Linked DNA regions of Sus scrofa. The protein of the gene in region 4 interacts with the protein of the main gene of each other region in a biochemical or structural test. Links are inferred from orthologs where the notes say so. Each region holds a gene or a part of one and is shown on either strand. Other genes may lie near its edges.

Evidence for each region. The genes of interacting proteins can lie anywhere in the genome.
Region 1: the proteins of SP1 (region 4) and NFYA form a complex in vitro, tested with the Homo sapiens proteins (2 studies listed by BioGRID). The link is inferred for Sus scrofa from reciprocal best matches to the Homo sapiens genes SP1 and NFYA.
Region 2: of the proteins of SP1 (region 4) and MAPK3, one has a biochemical effect on the other in vitro, tested with the Homo sapiens proteins (2 studies listed by BioGRID). The link is inferred for Sus scrofa from reciprocal best matches to the Homo sapiens genes SP1 and MAPK3.
Region 3: the proteins of SP1 (region 4) and RARA form a complex in vitro, tested with the Homo sapiens proteins (2 studies listed by BioGRID). The link is inferred for Sus scrofa from reciprocal best matches to the Homo sapiens genes SP1 and RARA.

The regions. Positions count from the first base shown.
Region 1 is NC_010449.5:36,384,354-36,390,533, forward strand, and holds the start of NFYA (nuclear transcription factor Y subunit alpha), read left to right. Parts: upstream 1-2,361; 5' UTR 2,362-2,476; intron 2,477-2,560; exon of another isoform or gene 2,561-2,852; intron 2,853-3,258; exon of another isoform or gene 3,259-3,980; intron 3,981-3,998; exon of another isoform or gene 3,999-4,022; intron 4,023-6,180. Other genes in the region: OARD1 (O-acetyl-ADP-ribose deacetylase 1), read right to left, coding at 513-657, 1,020-1,058. UniProt on the Homo sapiens protein: Component of the sequence-specific heterotrimeric transcription factor (NF-Y) which specifically recognizes a 5'-CCAAT-3' box motif found in the promoters of its target genes.
Region 2 is NC_010445.4:18,295,592-18,301,588, reverse strand, and holds the start of MAPK3 (mitogen-activated protein kinase 3), read left to right. Parts: upstream 1-2,178; 5' UTR 2,179-2,199; coding exon 2,200-2,372; intron 2,373-3,412; coding exon 3,413-3,595; intron 3,596-5,997.
Region 3 is NC_010454.4:22,081,941-22,087,947, reverse strand, and holds the start of RARA (retinoic acid receptor alpha), read left to right. Parts: upstream 1-2,188; 5' UTR 2,189-2,445; intron 2,446-6,007. UniProt on the Homo sapiens protein: Receptor for retinoic acid. Retinoic acid receptors bind as heterodimers to their target response elements in response to their ligands, all-trans or 9-cis retinoic acid, and regulate gene expression in various biological processes.
Region 4 is NC_010447.5:18,586,226-18,592,231, forward strand, and holds the start of SP1 (transcription factor Sp1), read left to right. Parts: upstream 1-2,537; 5' UTR 2,538-2,715; coding exon 2,716-2,722; intron 2,723-3,224; exon of another isoform or gene 3,225-3,626; intron 3,627-3,802; coding exon 3,803-3,957; intron 3,958-4,290; coding exon 4,291-5,806; intron 5,807-6,006. UniProt on the Homo sapiens protein: Transcription factor that can activate or repress transcription in response to physiological and pathological stimuli.

The sequences.
Region 1 (6,180 bases), on a different chromosome or scaffold from region 4:
GACTGGCATCAGAATCACCAGCGGAGACTCGGATTCAGTAAGCCTGGACTGTGGTCTAAGCAACTGTTTCAGAAGCTCCACAAGTGATTCTAATACACATGTCTGGTTTAAAATCATTGGTAGAAAGTGATGGAAGGGATCTGTAAGGAACTTTCTAGACTCCTCTTTGAAGAATAAGTACAATACGGGTAAAGAAGATCTTGAGTGCCAAATTAATACCCATGGACTTGGTTAAAGCACTTCAGTTATGAAAGGTTTCAGAGAAGCAGTTATTATCAAGACAGATTTAGGAAGAAATTAAAGACTTTTACAAAAACTCAGATTTGGTAGGAAAAGGATCCAAACTAGAGGCCGTTTTTTTATGAAGAAAAACCTAATCTTCACGGTTAAAAGGACTCAGTGGTTTGGAATCCCACCCATACGGGTATATCTTGTTTCATAATCAAGTACAACAGGAGGTCAAAAGATGCTCTAGCCAGGGCAGATGAGTTGGAGCTCTTCTCAGAACTCACGTTGACTTAACAGTTCCTGCACCCCTCCAAATTTCTTCTTGAAGAGGACAGCTATCCCAGCGCCCATTCGACAATCCTCACTGATGCAGTGCGCTAAAGAGTCTGTCTTGGGGCATGCGAAAAGGTCTCCTTTCACATAAGTAATCTAAAATGTGCAAAGGGAAAGAAAATGTTTTATTAGATACCAAAAAAAAAGACGAAGCTACAGAAAAAGACTAAGCTATTTATTTTCCTTTACTGTGCCCACCACCACTTCTCCCCGCTTCCTCCTTTTGATTTAGTGACAAATCCTCAGAATTGAAAAAATTATCTAAAGCGAATTAAAGCATGTGTAAAACAAAGTGATGAGCGGCCTCTGCCTAGGATTTTATTGGCCTTTCTAAAGGAAATCAACAGAAGAGAGAAAAAAAGACAATTCAATTATTGGTTTAATTAAAAAGTGTTTATGCTTTTGACCTCAATTACTCTGAATTTCAGTTCACCAATAAGTTAATAGTTGTTACGCACTCTGCTTCCTTCTGAATCTTCATTAGGGCTGCCGGCCATGATAGAGTCGCTATTTCCAGAATTTAAGTGTTTCTTCAGCTATAAGAAGGGGAAAGGAAGTGAAAATGCTTAGGCAACCTGAATATATTACATTCAGACTGCCCCGACCACCCACTTACTAACTTTTCTGCCCCCCACCTATCGCTGAATGGGAGTTCGTTCAGCCTTCAAAAAGTAATGCAAAACTCTTCTGGGCAAGAAAGAGAAGCGGACGCCTGGGTTGGGGGGCGGCAGGGCTCCGCTCCCGTTTCGCGCTTTCCAGGAGAGAAAGGCGGCCCGAAGACACGCCTCCTCCTCTCCCCAAGCCAGCGCGGAGCAAGGCGGATTCGCAGTCTCCTTTTCGGTGCACGATCCAAAAGTATTTCCGCATTGGGTGTGGCCCAGAAGCAAAAAGGTGGGCCAAGGCTACGGTCCCGTTAAGCCGCAACAAGGGAGCAAACGGGACGGGGGCGGGGGCGGGCGTGTATACAGCGGGAGCGAGCACGAGAAAACAGAAGGCGGCCTCTCAAGGAAAGCTCCCCCCTATCTTTGGGGGGAAACGGGGGAAGTTTAGAGAAGCCTCCCATTCTCTCTCCTACCCTGGGGCGGATCAGCGAGGCCAAATGGCCTGTCCGGGGTCCCGTGGGAGGGAGCGGGGAGCCTCGTTCAAAGCTCCAACGTACCAGGTACCCTTCACCTGGAAAGGAGTCCGCCGTTAGGAGGTCCCGCCCCGCGGGGAAGGGCTCTGGTAGGTGGGGACCAGCGGACTAGTCCGCTTGTAGAGCCAATCCCACCACAGTCCTTAATTGCACGCACCTAAAATGGCCGCCCACCACCCGGGAGTGGGGCGGAAACGAGCCCTTCTAGCTAGCTAGCCGGACCTGCACTCTTTGGTGCTGGTCGCCGAACTTCCGGCGGTAAACTCCGTAGAGTATCCCGCCGCCGCCCGGGCATGCGTAACGAGATAGCGGCCGCGAGTTGGATAGAGCGGCGCTTGCGCATTAGTCCCAGGGGTGTGTCTCCAGAGGCCGCATAGAAGGGGTGGGCAGTTGGCAAAGGAATTGGTTAGCGCCTGCGTGGTCCTGTGCTCAGGGCGGTGTTTTGAGTTGAAGGGTCCGGCGCGTCAAGAGAGCGCCTGCGTATTCCTTCGGCCGGGGGAGGAATCTAATTAGGGAAGTGGGCGTGGCTTCATCGTACGCCTGCGCAGTGCTCTCTCAACGGGGATGGGGCGAGCCCAGAGCTCGGGTTAGGGGGCGTGGTCTCAGAGGCGCCTGCGCGGAGGCAGTTGGAGGGAGGCCCGATTCCCCTTTGTTCGGCTTCGCCATTTTGCGAGGCAGCGGCAGTGGCGGCGGCAGCGGCGGCTGGAGCCTCTGATTGGGTTTCGGGGTCCGGTACTGGAGCCAATCAGCGCGGGCAGCGAACCGGGGGAGCGAGGCACGGTGAGTGTGAGGAGCCAATATCCAGCGGCCCAGAGCCGGCCCCAGCGCCCCGATTGGCGGGTCTCGCTGACCACTCAGGAGAGGCCCAGGCTCCCGTCGAGCCCGGGGAGTCGAGCTGAGCCTAACCGAGCGGGGCTGCTGGCGGCCTCGGCTTGGAGCCTGCAAGCGCTCCGGGGTACTCCCTGCCGAGGCCTGCAGAGGGCTGCCCCGCGCAGGGATGGCGCTCTCGGGAGCAGGCACCTTGGGGTCCAGCCCTTTGCAGGGTGTCAGGGCCAGTTGGCCATGCGTCCCGGTTGTTTCTACCCTTAGGCCTAGGTTCTCAAGCTCCAGGCCCGGGGGTGGCGGGTTTGACTGCCACGAAGGCCCCCACGCTCAGGTATACACACAGACACACACACGCGCGCCCGGGCCTCGGCGGTTTTCTCCTGGTCGTTCGGCCTCACTCTTTAGCCTGCCCTAGCACTCACCACGCTCTAGCCCTGGAAGGGAAATCACTCCCCGCGGGGCCCGCGCACCCCACTTCTCCGTAAGCGGGTCTGGGTATCTCAGTCCTCTTGAGTCGGGAGGGAGACCCAGGGAGGACGCGCGCCCCGGCCACGGGGCCTTGCGTGCGGCGCGGAGAGGGGGGGGCCGGCCCGCCCCCGCCGTCCCTTTGATCCGTTAGTGCGCCCACTCCCCGGTCTGGCTGCGCCCCTCCTCCCAGCTCGGCCCGGGTCTCCAGCCAGGCGCCGTTACCACCCACTTTAGGCTCGTCATTTCCTCTCCTCCCCGCCCGGATCTCCGGGGCAGAACCGCACACCTCCGTCTTGGAGCCCAACCAAGCAGTCTGCCTTTCTTGCCCGGGCTGTAAGGCCTGTCCATTCGGCGCCTGGAACTTCAGTCTTCGAAGATTGCGAGCCCTGTGCATTCTTTTTCCCGGAAGCTGCACAACTTGTTTTTATATCACTGGCATTTTTTCTTGTTGCTTGGTCTTGTGAACTCTCGCTCCCTTAGGAACGTAGTACAGTCCTTTTTCTTTCACCTCTCTGTGTCGCTTTGAATGTATCAGGCTTCACTCATTAGCTCAGTCCACAACCATCCCTTGGTTTGATTTTTTGCTAGTATGTTGACGTTTTCTCAGTTGGTGTTAATAGAAACTTAATGGTCTTGTGGGATTTTCGTTAGGGTGAGAGAAAATCTCTGTTGACAGCCGAGCATGGAGCAGTTGGTGTGTACCAAGCATCCATGTATGTGCTGAGAGGAGAGTGGGTAAGGAGGTCGATAGGAACCTCCCCAGCCTGGTGGAGATTGACAGGTGACCAAGTAATTAATACTTTACGGTTTTGTGCTGTAACCGGACCAAGTTCAGTTCCGTGGTCAACTGACGTGTTGAGCTACCAACAGCCTCGGAGGGCTCTGCATTGCCACTCTTTGGACTGGCAAGGATGATGGGATTTCTTCGGACGATAAGAAATGGAAGAGCATTGCTCATAAAGAAGCACGTGCCAACGCTCCAAACTTTGCTGTATGTTGGAGGGGGAAGAGTTTATGCTGGAAAGCCCATTTGGTAAAAACAAACAAACAAACCAAAAAAACGCTTGTATATCTTGCCAGGGAATTTTTCAGAAGCAGTTATTTTGTGGCGATCCAGACAGGAGAAATCCAGGAGCATTTTTAACTCCCTAGGATTGGAGAAATAAGTTTCTGGCTTATGGGGTTCTGCTCCACAGCAGTGGCTGATGTTGATGGAAGAAAGGGAGATTTCCTTTCCAGGACTTGAGAAGCATGTAGCACAGCAGTGCTTGCCACATAGAGTAGGCTGTGTATGGTGCCCATTTTTATAATCTCATGTGCAGGTCATCCAACTGGTAGGTTTCAGAAAGCTAACCCAGTACTGTCTCCACTGCTAAAAATTTGGGGACAGGTTTTGTTTTCACTTTCTGGAATGAGTTTTTGATTGTTTAAATCATTTAAAAAATTTATTTAATTCTTAAAATAACTATTAATAGATGGTGTACTATGGCTTAGATTTTAGAACACATACATTGGCCTTTGGACTAGATAGATACCCTGGTACTTAAAAATGGTTATAGCTGGTCACTTTAAAACCAGCAACTATTTTTGCTGAACTTCTTTAAGAGACACTTAGGCTCTGATCATTGTAGACCACTCTGGAGACTCCACTTGCCCGCAGAACTTTCTTTGCCTGGAATTTCGAGAGACAGTAATCTGGCCTTTAGCTTTCTCTCAACATGTGGCCTTTTAGTCTGCTGTTCATATGTGGAAACTTCTCTGCCCTTCATGCTGTCTTCATTTGGAGTACTCCATTCCCCTCCACCCCAATCACATGGACAAAGCCTTCTCATGCTTAAGACAGATCAGATGTCATGTTTTTCTAAAGCCTTCTTATCTACCCCAGTTGGAAGAATTCTGTCATCCAAACTTCATATTGCTTTGTTTCTCTCTCAGGGGTTCATTACAGACTTTTACTTTTTACTAAGTTTAAAGACTCTTTGAAGTTAGAATTTTCGTCAGAGTTTTCCTTTTATTTCTAAAACCTTCAGGACAGTGTCTGATAGGTGGTACATCACCTATCACCTAGTGGAGATTAAGGAGCAAATTAGGAACTGCAGTCCAGAAGCCTTTTGAATGATGGGGAAGCAGAACAATTCTTTGATTTTTAGCCTTTTATCAAACAGATCAGGACCTGTTTTGTTGAGTTGTGAAGTCAATTTAGTGGGCCAGTGCTGGTAATATTTTTACGATAGACTGGAAAATGTTACAGTGCATCTTATGTTACACTTCTAAGTCCTGACTGAGACTTTTCATTTTACTTAATATGTTGCATGTGCATTTGTGATATGAAACTTGTTTCTTGTTTCTTACTGAGCCTTGTCAAAATTTGAAAGCTACTGTTCTGGTCTACCTGGTAGTGGTTGTCAAATATGGTAATTCACTTACTTATGGCTGGGTTGGTTGGATTTCTGAGCCTTAGCTTTAAAATGTGTGTGGGTCCACACTGAATGGGTTTCTAAGTAGTTAGCTACATTTCAGGTTCTGCACCTTGAAGTAGGAGAAAGAAATTTTCTTGCTAACCAGAATAAACACACACACACACACACACACACACACACACACACACACACACACTTTTTCTCTTTGAGGAAAAAAACTTTGGGTTAGGAGCCACAGCTAGACAGACTAAATCCTGCTGACTTAATTCTTCCATAATCTTGGGCAGAGAAGCACTTGAGGAGAGATGATGTCAGATTATGTTGCAGTTCTCCGAACTGAAGTTTACAATAGAGTCCGCCGGTTGCATACAGCTTTCACCATTAGCAGTGGCAGTATCATGCTCCCAGCTGAATCCGTCCCTCCTTTAATGTGACAGAGAATTGCTGTTAGGTTTGGAGCTGATTCATTTTTTGACCCTTTAAAATACAATGGATTTATGTTTTTAAATTGAAGCATTTGTATTACCAGGATAAACTAAGAAGAAAATCTGCATGACATTTTATTAGTCATTTCCCTGAGGTTCCAGAAAAATGTAAATTCCTGGAAATTAGTGATCAAGGAAAAAAGAAATTGATACAGGAAGGGGATTTGGCAGGAGTGGGGGTGGGAGGATGTTGAAAAATAGGACATTCCTTCCTGACCTTTATTTTTAAAAATCAGCTCTGTTGATGTATAGTTTTAAGTGTACATTTTGATAAATTTTGACAAAT
Region 2 (5,997 bases), on a different chromosome or scaffold from region 4:
TGAGTGAGGCCAGGGATCAAACCTGTATCCTGGTGAGTACTAGTCGGGTTTTTATCCCACTGAGCCACAAGGGAAACTCCCAATTCACCCTATACAGTAAGCTTTTATCAGCCCCAGTGCCTAGCTCACAATGCCATTCAATAGCTTATCAAAAATTTTTTGATCTGCAGTTCCTGTCATGGCTCAATGGTTAATGAATCTGACTGGCACCCATGAGAACGCAGGTTTGATTCCTGGCCTTGCTCAGTGGGTTAAGGATCCAGCGCTGCCATGAGCCTTGGCGTAGGTCATGGTGGCGGCTCAGATCCTGCGTCGCTGTGGCTATGGTGTAGGCCGGCAGATACAGCTCTGATTCAATCCCTAGCCTGGGAACCTTCATGTGCTACCAGTGTTGTCCTAAAAAGCAAAAAAAAAAAAAAAAAAAAAAAAAAAGATCTAATTAGTATCTTGAAATTTCATTGACTTGGGGGCTATTGGTGACCAGTGACTCGGTCTTATTAATCTGAATCAAGTGCCTGGTGGTATATCTAATGGTGACCAATTTCAGAATCATAATTACTGTTCCATTTTGTCTCGATCTTTAAGGCATACAAGGACCAGTTTCTAAGGGAGACCAAAAAAAACGTGATTACTTACTAAAGCCGAGGAGATGTGTTTTTGTGAAACTCCCAGCTCATATTTTCATTGTGAAGTAAGGGAGATGGACTGGGTGGGCCCTCTCTCCAGTTTTTTAGCAGACTCTGATTCTGGGAAACAGAATGGAATTAAAAAGAGCCTCTGCTTCTCTGTCAGAAGACACCATGTTGAGTCTCAGCTCCCCAACTCCAGATTTCCTGTTCTGTAAAACTTGATTCATCCATTAATTTTTTTTTTTTTGAGTGTCTGAGGGTCGAGGATTCAGCCATGAACAAGAAAGACATGGCCCCTGCCTACCCAGTTAAGAAAGGCAGATGAGAAGTTCCCGTCGTGTCACAGTGGTTAACAAATCTGACCAGAGCCATGAGGTTGTGGGTTCGATCCCTGGCCTTGCTCAGTGGGTTAAGGATCCAGTGTTGCCCTGAGCTGTGGTGTAGGTCACAGACACGGCTCAGATCTGGCGTGTCTGTGGCTGTGGTGTAGGCCGGCAGCTGTAGCTCCAATTGGACCCCTAGCCTGGGAACCTCTATATGCCGTGGGTGTGGCCCTGAAAAGCAAAAAGAAAAAAAAGAAAGAAAAGCAGTTGACGTTTATATTGTGGGATTGTTCTAATGAAGCGACTAGAGTGGGCCAAGTATTAAGTATATGTTCAAGTCTCATACAGAATCAAAATATGATGATCTTAACAGGATTCCAATTTTTGCCAAATCCAATGACAGAAAAAAAGTTACCCGTCTTGCTATATTTGGGCAAAGCCTGATCGTGTCAACCTTGCATGCAGCTCTCTGGACTCTCCCCCCCTTTCCCTGTAAAGGAAGCATGGGATCATCAATGATATGATCCTGGGGATACCAGTACCGCCTGGGTGCTGAGGCCAGGTCCCTAGCCCACTCTGGCAGGCCTCCAGTCAAAAGCCATTAGGCTGGGAGTCCGGACACCTGGGCTTTCCAGATCTCAAGTTGTCTGCGCGATTCCAAAGGACCTTGCGCTGCTCAGCCTTCAGTTTCCTCATTTGTGAAAGGCAGGCTACCTCTAGGAGAAAGCCATCTCCCACCGCTTTTGTGAAATATGCATGGGATCACTTAGCATCGGGCCGGGCTCAGGGAGGCCAAACGCCAGAGGGCTGGTGAGGGTCCCCTAAGGTTCCATCTGGAGCCGGACCACTCAGCCGGGCTGAGTGGGGCTGGCAAAAGCAGCGGGGACCAGGCGGCCCAGTCTTGGCCCCTCATCCCAGCCCTTGTTTGGTGGCTCTGGGTGAGGTCACTGGGGCGGCCCTACTGGCTGTTCTGCATTGGAGGGGGGGAGTGGGGTTCTGGACCGTCTCAGACGGCCCTGGGGAGCTTCTAGATTGACCGAGTAGACGGAGCCCACAAGTGCCAGGGACCATGGCATCCGTGCCCAGAAAGCTGGGCGCCGCTGCGGGGGGGTGGGGGTCACGTGACGGGCGCGGGGGCGGGCGGGGGCGGGGTCTGGCGCGCGCGCGGCTCCGCGGGTGACAGGGCGGGCGGGAAGGGGCGGGGCCGCCGGGGGGGGAGGCGGGCGGGCGGGAGGGGAGGAGTGGAGATGGCGGCGGCGGCGGCGGCTCAGGGGGGCGGGGGCGGGGAGCCCCGGGGAGCCGATGGGGTCGGCCCTGGGGTCCCGGGGGAAGTGGAGATAGTAAAGGGGCAGCCGTTCGACGTGGGCCCGCGCTACACGCAGCTGCAATACATCGGCGAGGGCGCGTACGGCATGGTCAGGTGAGGGGCGTTCCAGGGGAGGGGGCGTCTTAGAGGAGGGCGATCCCAGGGAGGGGTGCTGAGAGCTCTCTAAGGCCTTGGGGTCTCTGAGCATCGTGAAGCCGCAGGGGCTTCGGGAGGCTGGAGAGCGCCCCAGGGAGAGGGCCTTGGAGTGCTTTCTGGGGGAGGGGGCGCTGCCTACGATCTAAGAAGAGGGGGGCTTGGGGGGTTTTGAGGGGAACCTTCTCTAATGAAGGGAAGGGCCTCTAGGTGGGGGAGCTGTGGGGACCTTGGGCAGTCTATAGCCACAGGGCGAAGAGAAGAGAATAAGTCTTCTGGGGGAGGTCATATCCTTGGTGAAAACGGCAGGAAGGACCCTTCCCAGGGAAAGGGCGCCTGGGATCTGCCCCCCGGGAGTCGAATCTAGGAGTTTGGGAGAGAAGAGCAGAGCTCAGGGCTGGACAGGGTGGGGCAGGGCTTTGGGCCTGGGGCCAGGGACCCAGTGAGCAATGAGGGGGTCCCGGAGTGCCTTCTTGCAACTTTCAGGAGGGCTCTGTGAGTTCTCCCAGCCCCACTGGGGGCCCTGGGCCTTTGTTCATCAGGGATTAGCTCTGCTGCCCGGGAACCTCCCCCTGACACCCGCCCCTGCTGCATCCCTTCTCTCCCATCCCTCCTTCTTCCTGGATTCGCCTCCCTGTATGTCCCTCACACCTCCCGCCCCTGGCCCTGTCTTGGGTAGAGGGAGCCCATCCGGGGAAGGGGAGGATGAGGGGTGAGGGCCACTAGAATGGAAAGGGTTGAGGAGAAGGGAAGTCAGCGATCGGTCAGTCCCTTCCTCTGTTTGTGAAGTCACTGAAGGGCTGCCTGGCTGGTCCCCAGCTTTCTCCCTGGAGATCCCAGGCCTTCACAGCAGGAAGGAACCAGCATTGTTTATGACTGGCTCTGGCCAGTCTCTCCTGCTCCCTCCCCTCCCTGCCAAGGCCTGGGTGGGGCCCGCCGCCGGGCCTGGACTCCCCCCGCTTGGTAAGGCCACACCACCAACATCTCTCCGGCCCTCTCAGCTCAGCTTACGACCATGTGCGCAAGACTCGAGTGGCCATCAAGAAAATCAGCCCTTTTGAGCATCAGACCTACTGCCAGCGGACCTTGCGAGAGATCCAGATCTTGCTACGCTTCCGCCACGAGAACGTCATTGGCATCCGAGACATTCTGCGGGCACCCACCCTGGAAGCCATGAGGGATGTGTATCCTTCACCTTGGCCAGACGGCTGGCCGGGCACAGCTTCAGAGCTGGGCTGGGAGAATGTTGGCTTGCTTTCTGTTTCCTTCTTCCCTACCACCCTTCCAGACAACCCCAGTTCAACAGACTTTCCAGCAGAAAGAGGCCACAAGGTGTACGAGGACCGGCCAGGCCGTGTGGCCTTGGGCAAGTCTGTTCTCTAAGCTCTGCCCCAGGAGGGGGCTGGGGAAGATGGTGTCTATGGGAGCTTTGTCTTGTGACATCTGCCGTCCTGTGACGTGACCCAGCCTCTGCCCACAGTCAGTTCTTTTGTTTAACAGAGGGCGATTCTTTCTTGCCTGGGTCCTCGGACTCGAAGGAAGAAAAGTGCCCCCTTTTTGAGGGCCTACTATGAGTCTGGGTGCATTGTGCACCGAGTGCGTCGACATTTCTTAATCTGACCCCCAGCTGCCCTCTGCGCTGGGGCTCATCAGCCCCATTTCAAAGAGGAGGAGACTGAGGCTCAGAAAGGCCAACGTCAGGTGCCTGTGGCTGCCTCCACCCTTCCCCCAGATGAGAACCTGTCCTCCTGTCTCTGGGACTTCCCGCTTAGATCCCCACCCTGATCCCCCGTGGACTTGCACCTTGCCCAGGGAGGGTCAGCCTTGCCTTCGTTGCCCTCCCCCCATTGCCACTTTCCTAGCTTGTTGTCCACTTCCTGCCTGGCACTGTTAGCAGCTCGTAACACCCATTGCCTCTCCCCTACCCCACCCCCCAGTCCCAGTCCTCCACCCAAGAGTGGGGATTTGTACTGCAGTGTCTGCAGCCCCCACCACAAAGTGTGGGCAGGAAATCTCCATGCTTACCCCCAGCTTCCCGTGTGACCTTAACCAAGTCACTGCACCTTGCTGGGCTTCCTTATCTTTAAAACAGGGGAAGTTGCCGTCGTGGCTCGGCGGTAACAAACTCCACCAGTATCCAGGAGGATGCGAGTTCGATCCCCTGCCTCAGTGGGTTGGGGATCCAGCATTGTCATGAGCTGTGGTGTAGGTCGCAGACTCGGCTCGGATCCCGCGTGGTTGTGGCTGTGGCTGTGGCATGGGCTGGCAGCTGCAGCTCCCATTCTTCCCCTGGCCTGGGAACTTCCATATGCTGCAGGTGTGGCCCTAAAAAGCAGAAAGAAAAAACAACAACAAACAACGCAGCAGGGTTGGTCCGGATGTTCTCAGAAGGCCCTTTTGAGGCCGATTCTGACAGTCCTAATTTATTCTTCCAGAAACAAGTCATGTGACATTTCTTTATGTTTAATCTGTTTTATCTTAGGATCTAAAAGGACTCATATACCCCTCGATCTTCGGGTGTATGGCCAAGCACCCTGAGTAGGAGCCTGCTGTTGGGGGTTTCTCCTCATTTGTCTTGCACAAACCATGCCCAGAAGGCAGGCATTTATTTTTAAGCAAACATGTATTGCATGCCAGATGGTGTTCATACAGTATCTCATTTAACCTTCTCAACAGCCGTGCGGCTCAGGCTTTTATAACAGCCATACTAGTTTATGTTTGCCAAGCACTTAAAACATGCCTGGCGCTGGCTGGTGCTCCACGTGGATCATCTCAGCTTATCTCTACAACCCTCTCTAAAGAACAATTCCTTTTTTGTTTGTTTATTTGTTTTTTGGCCACACCAGTGGCGTGTGGAAGTTCCCAAAGCAGGGATCGACTCCAAGCCACAGCTGCAACCCACATGGCACCTGGGGTGACCCTGGTCCTTAACCTGCTGTGCCACAGCGGGAACTCCTCTAAAGAAGAGTTCTTTTCCCTACTTTACAGATGCGGAAATAGAGGCATAGATGGTCAAGGTCATAAGACCCATTAGCAGTGGAGGAGGGATTGAGATGCTGGCAGGTGACCTCCAGAGCTGATGCTCTTTTTTTTTTTGCATTTTAGGGCCGCACCCACAGCATATCAAGGTTCCCGGCCCAGGGGTCGAATCAGAGCTGCAGCTGCCGGCCACAGCCCACGGTAATGCCACATCTGAGCTGCATCTTCAACCTACACCACAGCTCACGGCAATGCCAGATCCTTAACCCACTGAGGCGAAGCCAGGGATTGAACCCGCATCCTCATGGATCCAGGTCGGGTTCCTTAACCACTGAGCCACAAAGGGAACTCCCCAGAGCTATTGTTCTTAACTGTGACGCTCTCCTGCCTCCCGCAGTGTATTGTCCTCCCTTTCCCAGTAGGGAAACGGAAGCCACGTAACTGAAGTGCTTTGCTCAGGGGTCACCAGCTGAGCGCCAGCAGAGGTCTTGAGCCCACCTGCTGAGTATGAGCCTTGCTCATATAAGCTGGCAGGTCTTTAAGTTAGGGTTAGGGTTAGGGTTAGCTGGCAGGTCTTTAAGTCCCAGGGGCATCAGCTGGAGGGGCG
Region 3 (6,007 bases), on a different chromosome or scaffold from region 4:
TCAGGGCTTTCTCAGATTTCCTCTGGTTTGGAGAGGGATCCCTGCCTTGGGAAACCAGCAGCTCAGGCTCCTCCCCCGGCCCATCTCCTTCTGCCTGCAGGAGGCCCCAGGAAGGAGTGTCTTTTCCAAAGAGTGAGTGGCTTTTCTCCCTCTGCCAGGCAGGAGGCTGCCTCCTGCACTCTTCTCCCCTCCTGCATGAGGGTCTCTGGAGGGTGGGGGGTGGGGACTCTGTAGTGGGCCCAGCACAGCTGGGTGTCCTGGGAGTGCATGTGTACACCTGCGTCTCCGTGTGCACGAGTGTACCTGACCCCGTGTGGCAGGTGTATGTGAAGGCCACCCTTCTTCGTGCGAGGCAGTAGACGTGTTTATGCACACTTGCATTTTTGTGGCCGTGGTGATCCTTCCCCTCTAGCCTCCGCTGGAAAGAAGACAGGTAGAATCTAGGCCAGGAGGAGCCTGTGCGGGGTGGGGTTGGGGGGGCGGGAGCTGACACTGAGTCCCCTCCCAGGCTGGTCCCTCATCTGGCTGGCGCCCCCTGCTGCTGGCTGGACTCAAGCTAGAAGGCCGGGGGAGGGGGGTGTTGGGGGGGAAGGGGTTAAGCATCGGAGTCCACATCTGGGAGCCATTGGCGCATTCCTGCCCGCTGAGCGCATGTTTGCGGATGGATCTGGACGGGACAGGGCGGGCGGGGCTGGGCGGGCGGTTCGCACCGGCGGATGGAAATCCAGACGGGAGCGGGAGACGGCCGGGCCCAGCAGGCGGGAAGAGGCCTGGGGAAGCGCCGCCCTGGGGCGCTCTTCTGCGCCGGGACCTCAGGGCAGAGCGTCTCGCCGACACTGCTTGTCCTACCTAACCAAGGCCGAGGGCCTAAAGCTGGAGAGAGACAGTCAGATACCTCAATCCTAGGCAGGGCCGTGCAGCCGGTGCCGGTGCGATCGTGGGCTACACCCGTGTCCACTCCCAGCCTCGGGTCCCTTGTCTGTAAAGCAGGGGCCGTCGGGCCGATGGGTTTGAGAGCTCTGCCAGTCGGGTCAGGCTGAGAGCCTCCTCACTGGGGTGGACGCCTGAGAGTGTGGCACTTCCCCTTCCAGTGGGAAGTCCTGTGGGGGGCACTTGTGGCCACTTCTCCGACCAGGAAAGGGGAGGGGTGTTCCCTACTGATTCCTCTTCCTCCTCCCCGCCCCCCACCCCAGTAGATGGGGAGATGGTCCTTCCAAATGGAGCCACAGGCTGGGAGGGGAATTGTGGCTCTGCTGGGGGTTGAGGTCTCCGCAGAGAGAATGATTCAGATCCTGCCCCGCTAGAACAAGAACGCGAGCTTTCCTGGCTCCTCAGCCTGGGCCAGGAAAAAGAAGCTGGAGACTGAGTCCCTTGCATGTACGAGTGCTCCTGGGCGCCCCCTACTCGGCTCTTGAAAGATCCACGAGCCGCTGTCCATTGGGGGTAAGGGAACTAGGGATCGCTGAGGGGTACGGTTGGGCCGAAGGTCCTCCGACCCACTCGAGCCGGAGAGGTTATTTGGCGGGAGAGGCGAGGAGGTGTGCCTGAGGGCCGTCTACCTGCTCTGGCACTCCTTTTTTTGCCGGTAAGAAAATTAAGATTCAGAGAAAAGAAAGAGACTTGTTCAAGGTCACACAGCTCTCAGTTCCAAGGGGTTCCTCGAGGAAGATTATAATTATGGGAGTCTAGGGGCTTGACAGCTAGGGGCGGAGTCACTGTATTCACTTCCATATTACGTTGCCGCCTCTCTAACCCCGGCTTAGGTGCCATCAGGGTGTGTGTGTGTGTGTGTGTGTAACCCCGACTTAGGTGCAAGAGGTTGTGTGTGTGTGTGTGTGTGTCTGTGTAACCCCGGCTTAGGTGCAAGAGGTGTGTGTGTGTGAGATACTTGCCCCTGTGAGTGTGGGTGTGTGTGGTCGGAGGGAAGGGAGTGTGATACCACACATTGCCGTCCCTTCTCCACTGAGCCTTCTTTCCGTTCTTCGCGCAGAACTTCTTCGCCTCCTCGCCCTGAGTCTCTCCTTTGGGGGCAGAGGGAGGGATTCTCCCAGATTCCCACGGTCCAGCTTCTGCTAGGCGCGGCTCCTTTAAGACTCACCCTTTCCCTGGGTCTATTAGGGAGAAAGGGGGGCGTGATCTTGTGGGCCCGCCCCTGGATGGTGATTGGTCTGTGGGAGGACGGGGGCGGACCGGAGGTTGAGGGCCTCCCCGCGGCTCGGTACCCTCCGCCCCCCCAGTCTGGGGCTCCGGGTAAAGTTTCAGCCTCCGCACGTGACTCGCCATGGCCGCTGCTTTCGCCCCGCGCCCCTGAGCCGCGGCCCCCCCCAACTGGTCGTCTCCCTGGACCCCGCAACCCCTGACGCGGAGCGGCTCCAAGGCGCAGGGTCAGGGCAGACGCTGTGCCCGCGGGCGACCGGGACGGATTGCGTCCCCCCCCACTGCGAGGTAACCTCTCCCCCCGGGGATTTTGGAGAGCCCCGGGCCCTCGCAGGCATCGTCGCCCCTCGGTCTGCTGCTGATAGGACCCGCGGGGTGGAAGAGACCCAGTGCCGGGCGGGTTCGGACGGCCACCTGGGGTTTCCTGGGCTTCCCAACCCGCCGCCGCCGTGCTCGGGGTGGGGGAGCCCCGTCTGTGAGTCTGTCTGCGCCCGTGTCTTCGCGCGCAGCCGTGAGGCGTCTGGGGCCGTCTGCCGCGCGTGTCTCAGGCGTCCGAGCTGTGGCAGAACCGCCGCTGGGAACTCCTGCTCTCTCTCGCTTTTTCTCTTCACAAACAAACAAAACAAAAAGATTTTCAAACCTGTTTGGGGAGAGATCAGATGCCCAACGGACTAGCCCCCTCCTTCTTTCCCTGCTGTTATCTGAGCCGCCCTGTGGTTTGGGGAGAATCAGCCCGGGGGCCCACCCCATCTGAGGCAGCCAGTTGGGAGGCGGGGCCCATTCAGCTGGTGTCCCCCGTGGAGTGCGGGGAGCCGTCAGAATTGGGTACGGGGAGCCAGTGCAGCCAGGGGAGGGATGTCTCTGGGTTTGTAGGCACCATGGGGTTGTGGAAGCTTGTGGGGGTATGAGAAGGATGGAATAGATTGGTTGTCTTGGTTCTGCCCAGGGTGTCTGGGACCTGGTGCCACCCACGAGGTGGAGAAGCTGCTAGCCAGATGTGTATGTGGGAGGGGGAAGCTGGAAAATCTGCTTGGCAGTGCCCTTTCTCCTCTCCGGGCATGGCCCTGTTGTCGGGTTGCTCTGGGGGAAGGGGGCCGTGCACTAGGCTGGAGATGAGAACCAGCTCATGTGGAAATCATACAAGAAAAGCCCCCAGTCTTGGAGACACTTGTCCACTGTCCAGCCTACCTTGGATAGCATGCCTTTGTGCTGGCGTGGAGGGGTACCCTGGGCCTCCACCAACTGCCAGCTCCCTCTTCTGTAACCAGATTGCCTTCTGCCTGGGAGACGTGTGCACATGTGTGCCTGTGTGCCTGTGTACCGTGTATGTTGTACCGTGTATGTTCTCAGGGGCCTTGTTCCTGAAAACACTCCCCCACCCCACCCCCACCCCCTGCTTCTTACCCCCAACCCTCACTTCTGCTCCTGACCGCCATCCTCCTCCAGTTTCCTGGTTAGGCGATTCAGTGAAGTCTCTTGTCCGCTTCCCTGGCTGCCTGGCTGCCGTGGTCATGGGCCGGGGTGTTTGGGGGGAAGTGGTTCAGGAAGGACACCAAGTCTTGCTAGGAAATGGGCTCAAGCCCCAGATTCTCCTCCACGGCCTTGTGCTTGATGGGGAGGCTGGGCCGGGGAAGCCCCAGGTGGCAGTGGGGGTGGCTTGGAGCATTGGGGCTTCCCCTGGGAGGGGTGGAGATGAGTCTGGGGGAGGGAACCAGAGAAAGAGTATTTGGAGCAGGAGGGAGCAGGAGGGTGGTGGTTGTGGAGTCAGGGAGTTTGTGGCTTTGAAAGATGTTGGTGCACTGGGAGGGGCGGCGAGGACCTGAGTTCTTCCTGAGTGTCTGGGCCATGTTGGTTCTGAAACAGAGCAGTCACCGTCACTGGGGTCAGACTTTCGTAGGCCTTGGGAGCTCGGGATCTTGGATTTGGAGGGACTTTGAGGGCATGAATAAATGCCCATGAGGTGGTCACCTCAGGACATTCCCTGCCAGACTGGCGAGGGTGAGACAGATGCAGTGGCAGTGCTGAGAAGAACCTGGGCTTGGAACGGCTTAATCCTGGCCACCTCCTCTTATAGCCCCTAAATCCCCATCCTTCTTGTTGACCCTAAATGCCCCTGCCTCCATCTGGGAAACCTCTCTGGACCCCCTCCTACTTGCAGCCATGTGGCAGCCTGGCAGGAAGCTAGCTGTGGGCAGCCCCATCCTGATCACCCCCATGCCTCCCCCGCCGGGCACAGTCACCCACATGTGCCATGACGTGGTTCCTGCCACCCTGTCTATTGTGGGGGAAAGGGCCTTGTCTGCATGGCCCTTCCGGTCTGTTTTGAGGGCATTGACCCAGACCCCAGTTAACTAGCTCCCCTTCCCCTAAATCCTTTGGTCTTGGAAGCTGGACCCCTTCCCCCGCAACTTCTTGCTCAGATCTGAGGGTCTTAGGTGGCGTGGTCCTCAGAACTCTGTGACAGGCTGGGGACTGCCCACAGGTAAAACCTCAGCGTCCAGTTCCCTGTCCTCTGCGTGGCCTGAGCAGGGCAGGACCTAGACGGTGCTGCATGGGTGGGTGTGTTTGGGACTCTGCCGGGTCCATTTAGGAGCACTCTCGGTCCATTTAGGAGCACTCTCGGGGACTGGGGAAGGTCGTGCTGTCCCCGTGAAGAGTAAATGGAGCAAGCAGCACTCGCCCAGCACCCCACGCCCTTGCTGGTAGTGGTGGTTTGGGGAGTGTGGGAAGTTGGCAGGGCCCCTGGCAAGACAGCCAGGATTGTCTTGACTTACTGGGTTTTTGGGAAAAGAGCGTGGCCAATGATACCCTGGTTCCCAGGGCTTTGGCTACCCGTCCTCTCGGCCGCCTGCTGTCTTTCCTCCCTCTGTTCCCCTCTCCACCCTCTGGCTGCTGTGTGGAGCCCACAGGGCTTGTGGGGGGATGTGGGGTTGGGGCGAGGGCCCAGATCTCCTTGTGTGTCCAGGGAGTGTTCTGGGGATTGGCTGGATTGGCAGAGGGAGTCTGGGTGTCCTTGCAGGGTGGTTGGCATGGGGGGACCAGGCCCAGAGTGTGAGAATGTGTCAGTGTCGGTGTGTCTGTCCCGTCTGGCTTGGGTGTGGGTGTCTCTGGCTCCGTCTGGATCTGGCCTCCCGCTCCAGTCCCCGCCCCCACCCCCCCCAGCTGGGCCCGCCTGCTTGAGTTCTCTCTCCGCAACTGGAGCCTCCCTGGCCTGTTCCTGGAATTTGGAGAGGAGGAGGAGGAAGAGGCAGGCAGACAGACCTCCCACACTCTAGCCCGCCTGCCTGGCATCGTGGGGAAATGAAATAGGTGCCTTGGAACTAAGGTTTTGCCTTCCCCAGACCCTCCAACACACATTGCAGAGTCCACAGGCCCAGGTCTTACAGAAGGGGCCTGGGCTGCCCACCTTCCACCCCACCCCCGCCAGCATCCTGCCCCCCAGGGCCCCCTGCCGGGACCTCCAGGCACCAGTGTCAGCCTGGGGAGCCGGTGGGGGATTAGACTGCTGCCAGCCTGACCAGCACCTGTTGCCAACCCCCAGCCCTGTAACTGGAGCTGGCCAGGGAGGGGGGCTGCAAAATGACAGGTGGAATTTCTGCAACCAGGCAACCCCCCACCCACTGGATATGCCTTTCCCTTCCGCCCCGGAACAAGGAAAGCCTGCCCCCCCCCAAGTGTCAACCTGATCTCCCGGATGATGTCCCTATCCCGACTGTGGGGGCAGGGCCTGGGAGATGGGCAAGGGGACGAGTTTACTGCTATTTGCCTAGAACGACCCCCCCCCACCTCCATCACTGACTGCGGAACTGGGCCGCCCCTGTTCAAGTTTCCTGAGCACTGCTGCGGGGAT
Region 4 (6,006 bases):
GAATTTATGCAGGGGCCAAAATTAATGAATAAATAATAAGGCAACCCAGAGGATAGGATAGATATCCTGATATTATGAGAAACTTTCATATAGGGAGAGATGCTATTAATTGAAATGTAATGAGATGTTTTATAATAAAGTCATACCAGAGGATTATGCTATTTGAGCTGTCTTGGAAGTATGGGCAGGATTTTTTTCTTTCATGACCTAGAAGGTAACAATAAGTTTTTTTTTTAATAAAAATCTTTTTATTAAGCTCATTTTTTTTTTTTTTTGTCTTTTGTCTTTTTGTTGTTGTTGTTGTTGCTATTTCTTGGGCCGCTCCCGTGGCATATGGAGGTTCCCAGGCTAGGGGTTGAATCGGAGCTGTAGCCACCGGCCTACGCCAGAGCCACAGCAACTCGGGATCCGAGCCGCGTCTGCGACCTACACCACAGCTCACGGCAACGCCGGATCGTTAACCCACTGAGCAAGGGCAGGGACCGAACCCACAACCTCATGGTTCCTAGTCGGATTCGTTAACCACTGCGCCACGACGGGAACTCCTTAAGCTCATTTTTATAAATGGTTATACAAGGCATTGTTTTATTGACTTAAGGATTCATAGAAGACTTTTTGTGGGCCTATTCTGGCTTGGAATCTGACACTACATCTCAGCTTGTGATCCTGAACAAGTTACTTCTTAGCCTCCATATCTTCATTTACAAAATACATACTGTCTCTAATACTAACATCTTCCTTAAGAGAATGACATAAGGAATGCCAAGATGCCTAGATGCCCTAGGTACCTAACGCTGTAGGAATTCACCTTTTTTTTTTTTTTTTTTTTTGCTTCTTAGGGCCTAACTTGCTGCACATGGAAGTTCCTAGGCTAGGGGTCAAATCGAAGTTGCAGCTGCCAGCCTAGGCCAAAGCCACAGCAACGTGGGATCCAAGCCATGTCTGTGACTGTACCACAGCTCATGGCAAAGCGCGATCGGATCCTTTACCCACCGAGCGAGGTAGGGAATGAACCCGCGTCCCCATGGCTCCTAGTCAGTTTCATAACCCACTGAGCCACAATGGGAATTCCAACATTCACCTTCTTCAGGCTTTGCCCAAAGCAGTAGAGGCCTCAGTTTTCGGGAATCCATACTTTAAGACATGATAGTAATATGGAGAAGTGCCGAGTTGTAGATAATGAAGTGGCAACATAGAACCTACAAGGGCGAAAGAGAATGGCTTTATGTTATTGACAGGCCACGCAGGCTGCCTCCACCAAAACTAGGGTAAAGGAGAGGCAGAATGAGTAGCCAGAAATTCAGGTGTTTCGGGAAAAATCACCTCTAACCTTTGCAGTTGCAAAAAGCAGGCACTCTATCTGGCTACTTGCTTTATGTTTAAACGTTATTTACAATTACGGGGTAGAGGCAGGGGCGGGGGTGGGGTAGCAGCTTACAGGACCTCGAACTCCAGGAAGTCCTCCAACACTCTTTAGCCTCAAAAGCAAGCTCTCGAAGAGTTAACCGGCCTTAAGTAGCTATCAACTTTGGGGGAATTTAGTAAAATGGCGTTTGCTGGAGTCTCACAAAGACCTTGCAAATTGGTCAGTGCGTTATTAACCTACTGTATGAGCGCCCTCGCCAGATCTCCTTGCGCCAGCACCCACAGGGGTTACACCATATTCTGAGGCATCCGCCTGCCAGTCCGCCCACCGCGGAGGGGGGAGACCTGAGAGGTACTTTTAAAAGCGGTTAAGTGAAGACTCAAACAAGCCCTGATGTCGAGGAAGAAATGCGACGCGCCGCGGGGCTCGGCCCTGACACTTGTTGAATTGCAGGGCTCTGCTGAAGCCTTGCCACCTAATCACGGTAAAGACGTCCCCAGAGGAGGGCCAAAATGGCGACGGACTCCTCTTGGCACAGCCCTGTTACCTCCCCGACAACTGGCGCCTCTAGTAACGCCCATTGGCCAAGCCGGAGGCGGTGCCTGGCTTCCCTCGCTGCCTCATTGGGCTGAGTGACTGAAGCAGCCGCCAATTCTCCCCTGCCTACTCCAGGTTCCCGCCCTCACAGTTTAAGCAGCATTCAATTGGCTTTTATTCACGTCAATTTGTGTCCTAGCGCGTCTCTTTTCAGTGTTAATCCAATCATAATTTTCCTGGCCGCCCGCCTGATTTCTGATTGGTTTTGATAAGCTTCATCCTATCCCATTCCTGTCTACTTTTTACCACCTCCCACCAGGACTTTGCCCAGGCTTGCCCAGGGTTTTGGTTGGTCGCTGTTCTGTCATTCCAATGAAAACCCTTCCTATCCCTACGTCTCAGCGAGCCCGCCTGGCAGTTGACTGGTTTCTCTCCAAGCCTATCATCTCTAAATCCCGCCTATCTTCACTTCCTGCACCTTTCATTGGCTTTTAAAACTGAGAGGGCGCCCTTTTTGGGCGGACACCACGCACGCAACTTTGTCTTACACGCCTTAGAGAGCAAACGAGTCTCGCCATTGGGTAATTTGCCTGTCTTTCTTTTGCAAGTCCCTCCTTTCACCCTCCCTTATTGGGCGGGGCAGCAGTGGAGGGGCGGGGCCTAGGCCGGGCTTGTGGCGCGCTGCTCCCTCCTCTTTACCCCCCCCTCCCTGTCCGGTCCGGGTTCGCTTGCCTCGTCAGCGTCCGCGTTTTTCCTGGCCCCCCCAACCCCCCCGGACAGGACCCCCTTGAGCTCGTCCCTCAGCTGCCACCATGAGCGGTAAGGATGAGTCCACTCCAAGCTTAGGGGTGGGAGGGGAGTGAGGGGGCGCGCGCGAGGGCCGACCGGGCGGTCCCCGCCGTGAGGGGGGCGGGCGGGAGGCGGCGGCGGCGGCCTTGGTCCCGCCCGGGGCGGAGGGAAGGGAGGGAGAAGGGGCAGTGGCGGGGCCTCGGAGGAGGAGGGGGATGGGCCGCCCGCCCCGGGGGAGGGGGCAGCGTGGCCTCGCCCGCCCCCTGCCCGCCCCAGCCACGGGGGACGGGCCTTACCCCCCACTACTCGGCCGCCCGCCTGAGGCTCCTCCTGCCGGGGGCTGGAGCCGCGGGGGCGGCCCGAGCAGTGCAGGCCCCGCCCGGGCCAACCGCCTCCCTGGTCCGCCCTCTGGTCGCCGCCGGCCCCAAGGCCCTCCTCCCCCCACCCCCCGAAGGTTACCCCTCCCCCCCGTAGATTACCCCTCCCCCTACCGTCCCGCCCTTTCCACGCCCCTCACCCCGAAACCGCCCTTTCCTTCTAGGGCCCGCCCTCTGTCCGCCCCGAAACTCCTGATTTCTAACCCCTGGACCTCTTTAGCCCCTTTCTAGTATTCACAAATGTTCCCCCCTACAAAACTTTTTATCTCATCTTTTCTCCTTCCCCTTCCTTTCCTCTTGTGACTTTCTACACTTGAATTCTTCCCTTTCTCCATCTCCTTTGACCCTAATTTGAGCAAGCTTTCCATCCACCCACATGTTTTATGCCTTATCTATATTTCTCCTTTTTTTCCCCGCAGGATACTTTTAAACTCCTTCAACATGTCCACGGACCCTTACATTGTCTATACCAAAAGCACCTTTTCATTGTTTTCTGAGTTTAATTTTGTACGAGGGAGAACTGCGGCCCAGTTTTGGCACCAAGGGGCCCAGTTCAGGTCTTCCTAGCCCTACAGCTGTCTCTTCTTCCCCAATCCTTTTTTGTTTGTTTGTTTAAATACTGGGACTTTCACCTTCCTGTTAGTCATTTTTGTTTGGTCCTAGTCTTCCTTACCCTTCTTCATTTTATCTTTTTTCTTTCCCCAACTTTAAGTTATCTTTTAATTCTTTTTAGACCAAGATCACTCCATGGATGAAATGACAGCTGTGGTGAAGATTGAAAAAGGAGTTGGTGGCAATAATGGGGGCAGTGGTAATGGTGGTGCCTTTTCTCAGGCTCGAAGCAGCAGCACAGGCAGTAGCAGCAGCGGTGGAGGAGGAGGAGGGCAGGTAGGTGATCATCTGGACAGAGTGGGCATCGTGTTGAGAGGATGTAGATATTCTTAGATGATTGTCTTTTCACAAAAAAATTTTTAGGAAAGGGCTAATTTACAGATAGGGAAGTAAGTACAGAGACAAGTGACTTGGAGATCCCCAAAGATGAGAATTTCAAATTTCAGCAGTGTAGATAGGTTGGCTTTTTGTTTGCTTGGGGGGGGCACTGTTTTGCTGTTTATTTATTTATTTTGGGTTTTTTTTACTGTTTATTTTTTTCTACTGCCCCCAGGGCTGGCAGCTGGTGTCACTAAACTAATCTCTTTCCTCTCCCTTATTTTTGGCCAGGAGTCCCAGCCATCCCCTTTGGCTCTGCTGGCAGCAACCTGCAGCAGAATTGAGTCACCCAATGAAAACAGTAACAACTCCCAGGGCCCAGGCCAGTCCGGGAGCACAGGTGAGCTTGACCTCACAGCCACACAGCTCTCCCAGAGTGCCAATGGCTGGCAGATCATCTCTTCCTCCTCTGGGGCTACCCCTACCTCGAAGGAACAAAGTGGCAGCAGTACCAATGGCAACAATGGTGGTGAGTCTTCCAAGAATCGCACTGTCTCTGGTGGGCAGTATGTCGTGGCTGCCACATCCAACCTGCAGAACCAGCAAGTCCTAACAGGACTGCCTGGAGTGATGCCTAATATTCAGTATCAAGTAATCCCACAGTTCCAGACGGTTGATGGGCAACAGCTGCAGTTTGCTGCCACTGGGGCCCAAGTACAGCAGGATGGTTCAGGTCAGATACAGATCATACCAGGTGCAAACCAACAGATCATCACAAATCGAGGAAGTGGAGGCAACATCATTGCTGCTATGCCAAACCTACTCCAGCAGGCTGTCCCCCTCCAAGGCCTAGCTAATAATGTACTCTCAGGACAGACTCAGTATGTGACCAATGTACCAGTGGCCCTGAATGGTAATATTACCTTGCTACCTGTCAACAGCGTTTCTGCAGCTACCTTGACTCCTAGTTCTCAGGCAGTCACGATTAGCAGCTCCGGGTCCCAAGAGAGTGGCTCACAGCCTGTCACCTCCGGGACTGCCATCAGTTCTGCCAGTTTGGTATCATCACAAGCCAGTTCCAGCTCCTTTTTCACCAATGCCAATAGCTACTCAACAACTACTACCACCAGCAACATGGGAATTATGAACTTTACCACCAGCGGATCAACAGGGACCAACTCTCAAGGCCAGACACCACAGAGGGTCAGTGGGCTACAGGGGTCTGATGCTCTGAACATCCAGCAGAACCAGACATCTGGAGGCTCACTGCAAGCAAGTCAGCAAAAAGAGGGAGAGCAAAACCAGCAGACCCAGCAACAACAACAAATTCTTATCCAGCCTCAGTTAGTTCAAGGTGGACAGGCCCTCCAGGCTCTCCAAGCAACGCCATTGTCAGGGCAGACCTTCACAACTCAAGCTATCTCCCAGGAAACCCTCCAGAACCTTCAGCTTCAGGCCGTTCCAAACTCTGGCCCCATCATCATCCGGACACCAACAGTGGGGCCCAATGGACAGGTCAGTTGGCAGACTCTTCAGCTGCAGAACCTCCAAGTTCAGAACCCACAGGCCCAGACAATCACCTTGGCCCCAATGCAGGGTGTTTCCTTGGGGCAGACCAGCAGCAGCAGTACCACCCTTACACCCATTGCCTCAGCTGCCTCCATCCCTGCTGGCACAGTCACTGTGAATGCTGCTCAACTCTCCTCCATGCCTGGCCTCCAGACCATTAACCTCAGTGCATTGGGTGCTTCGGGAATCCAGGTGCACCAGCTTCCAAGCCTGCCCTTGGCTATAGCAAATGCCTCAGGTAAGAGTTCAGATCTTTTGCATTTATTTCCAGAGCTACCTAGCATCTCAGCTGAAACTATTGAGTCTAAAGAACGAAGTAGAACCTTTTGAGGGTAACACTTTCTTGAGGGCAAGTCAGAGAAGTAGCAATGATTTTCTTTAAATCATTTGGAACTGACTTAATGGAAACTTTTCCCCTTCAGTTAATCTGATGAGAAA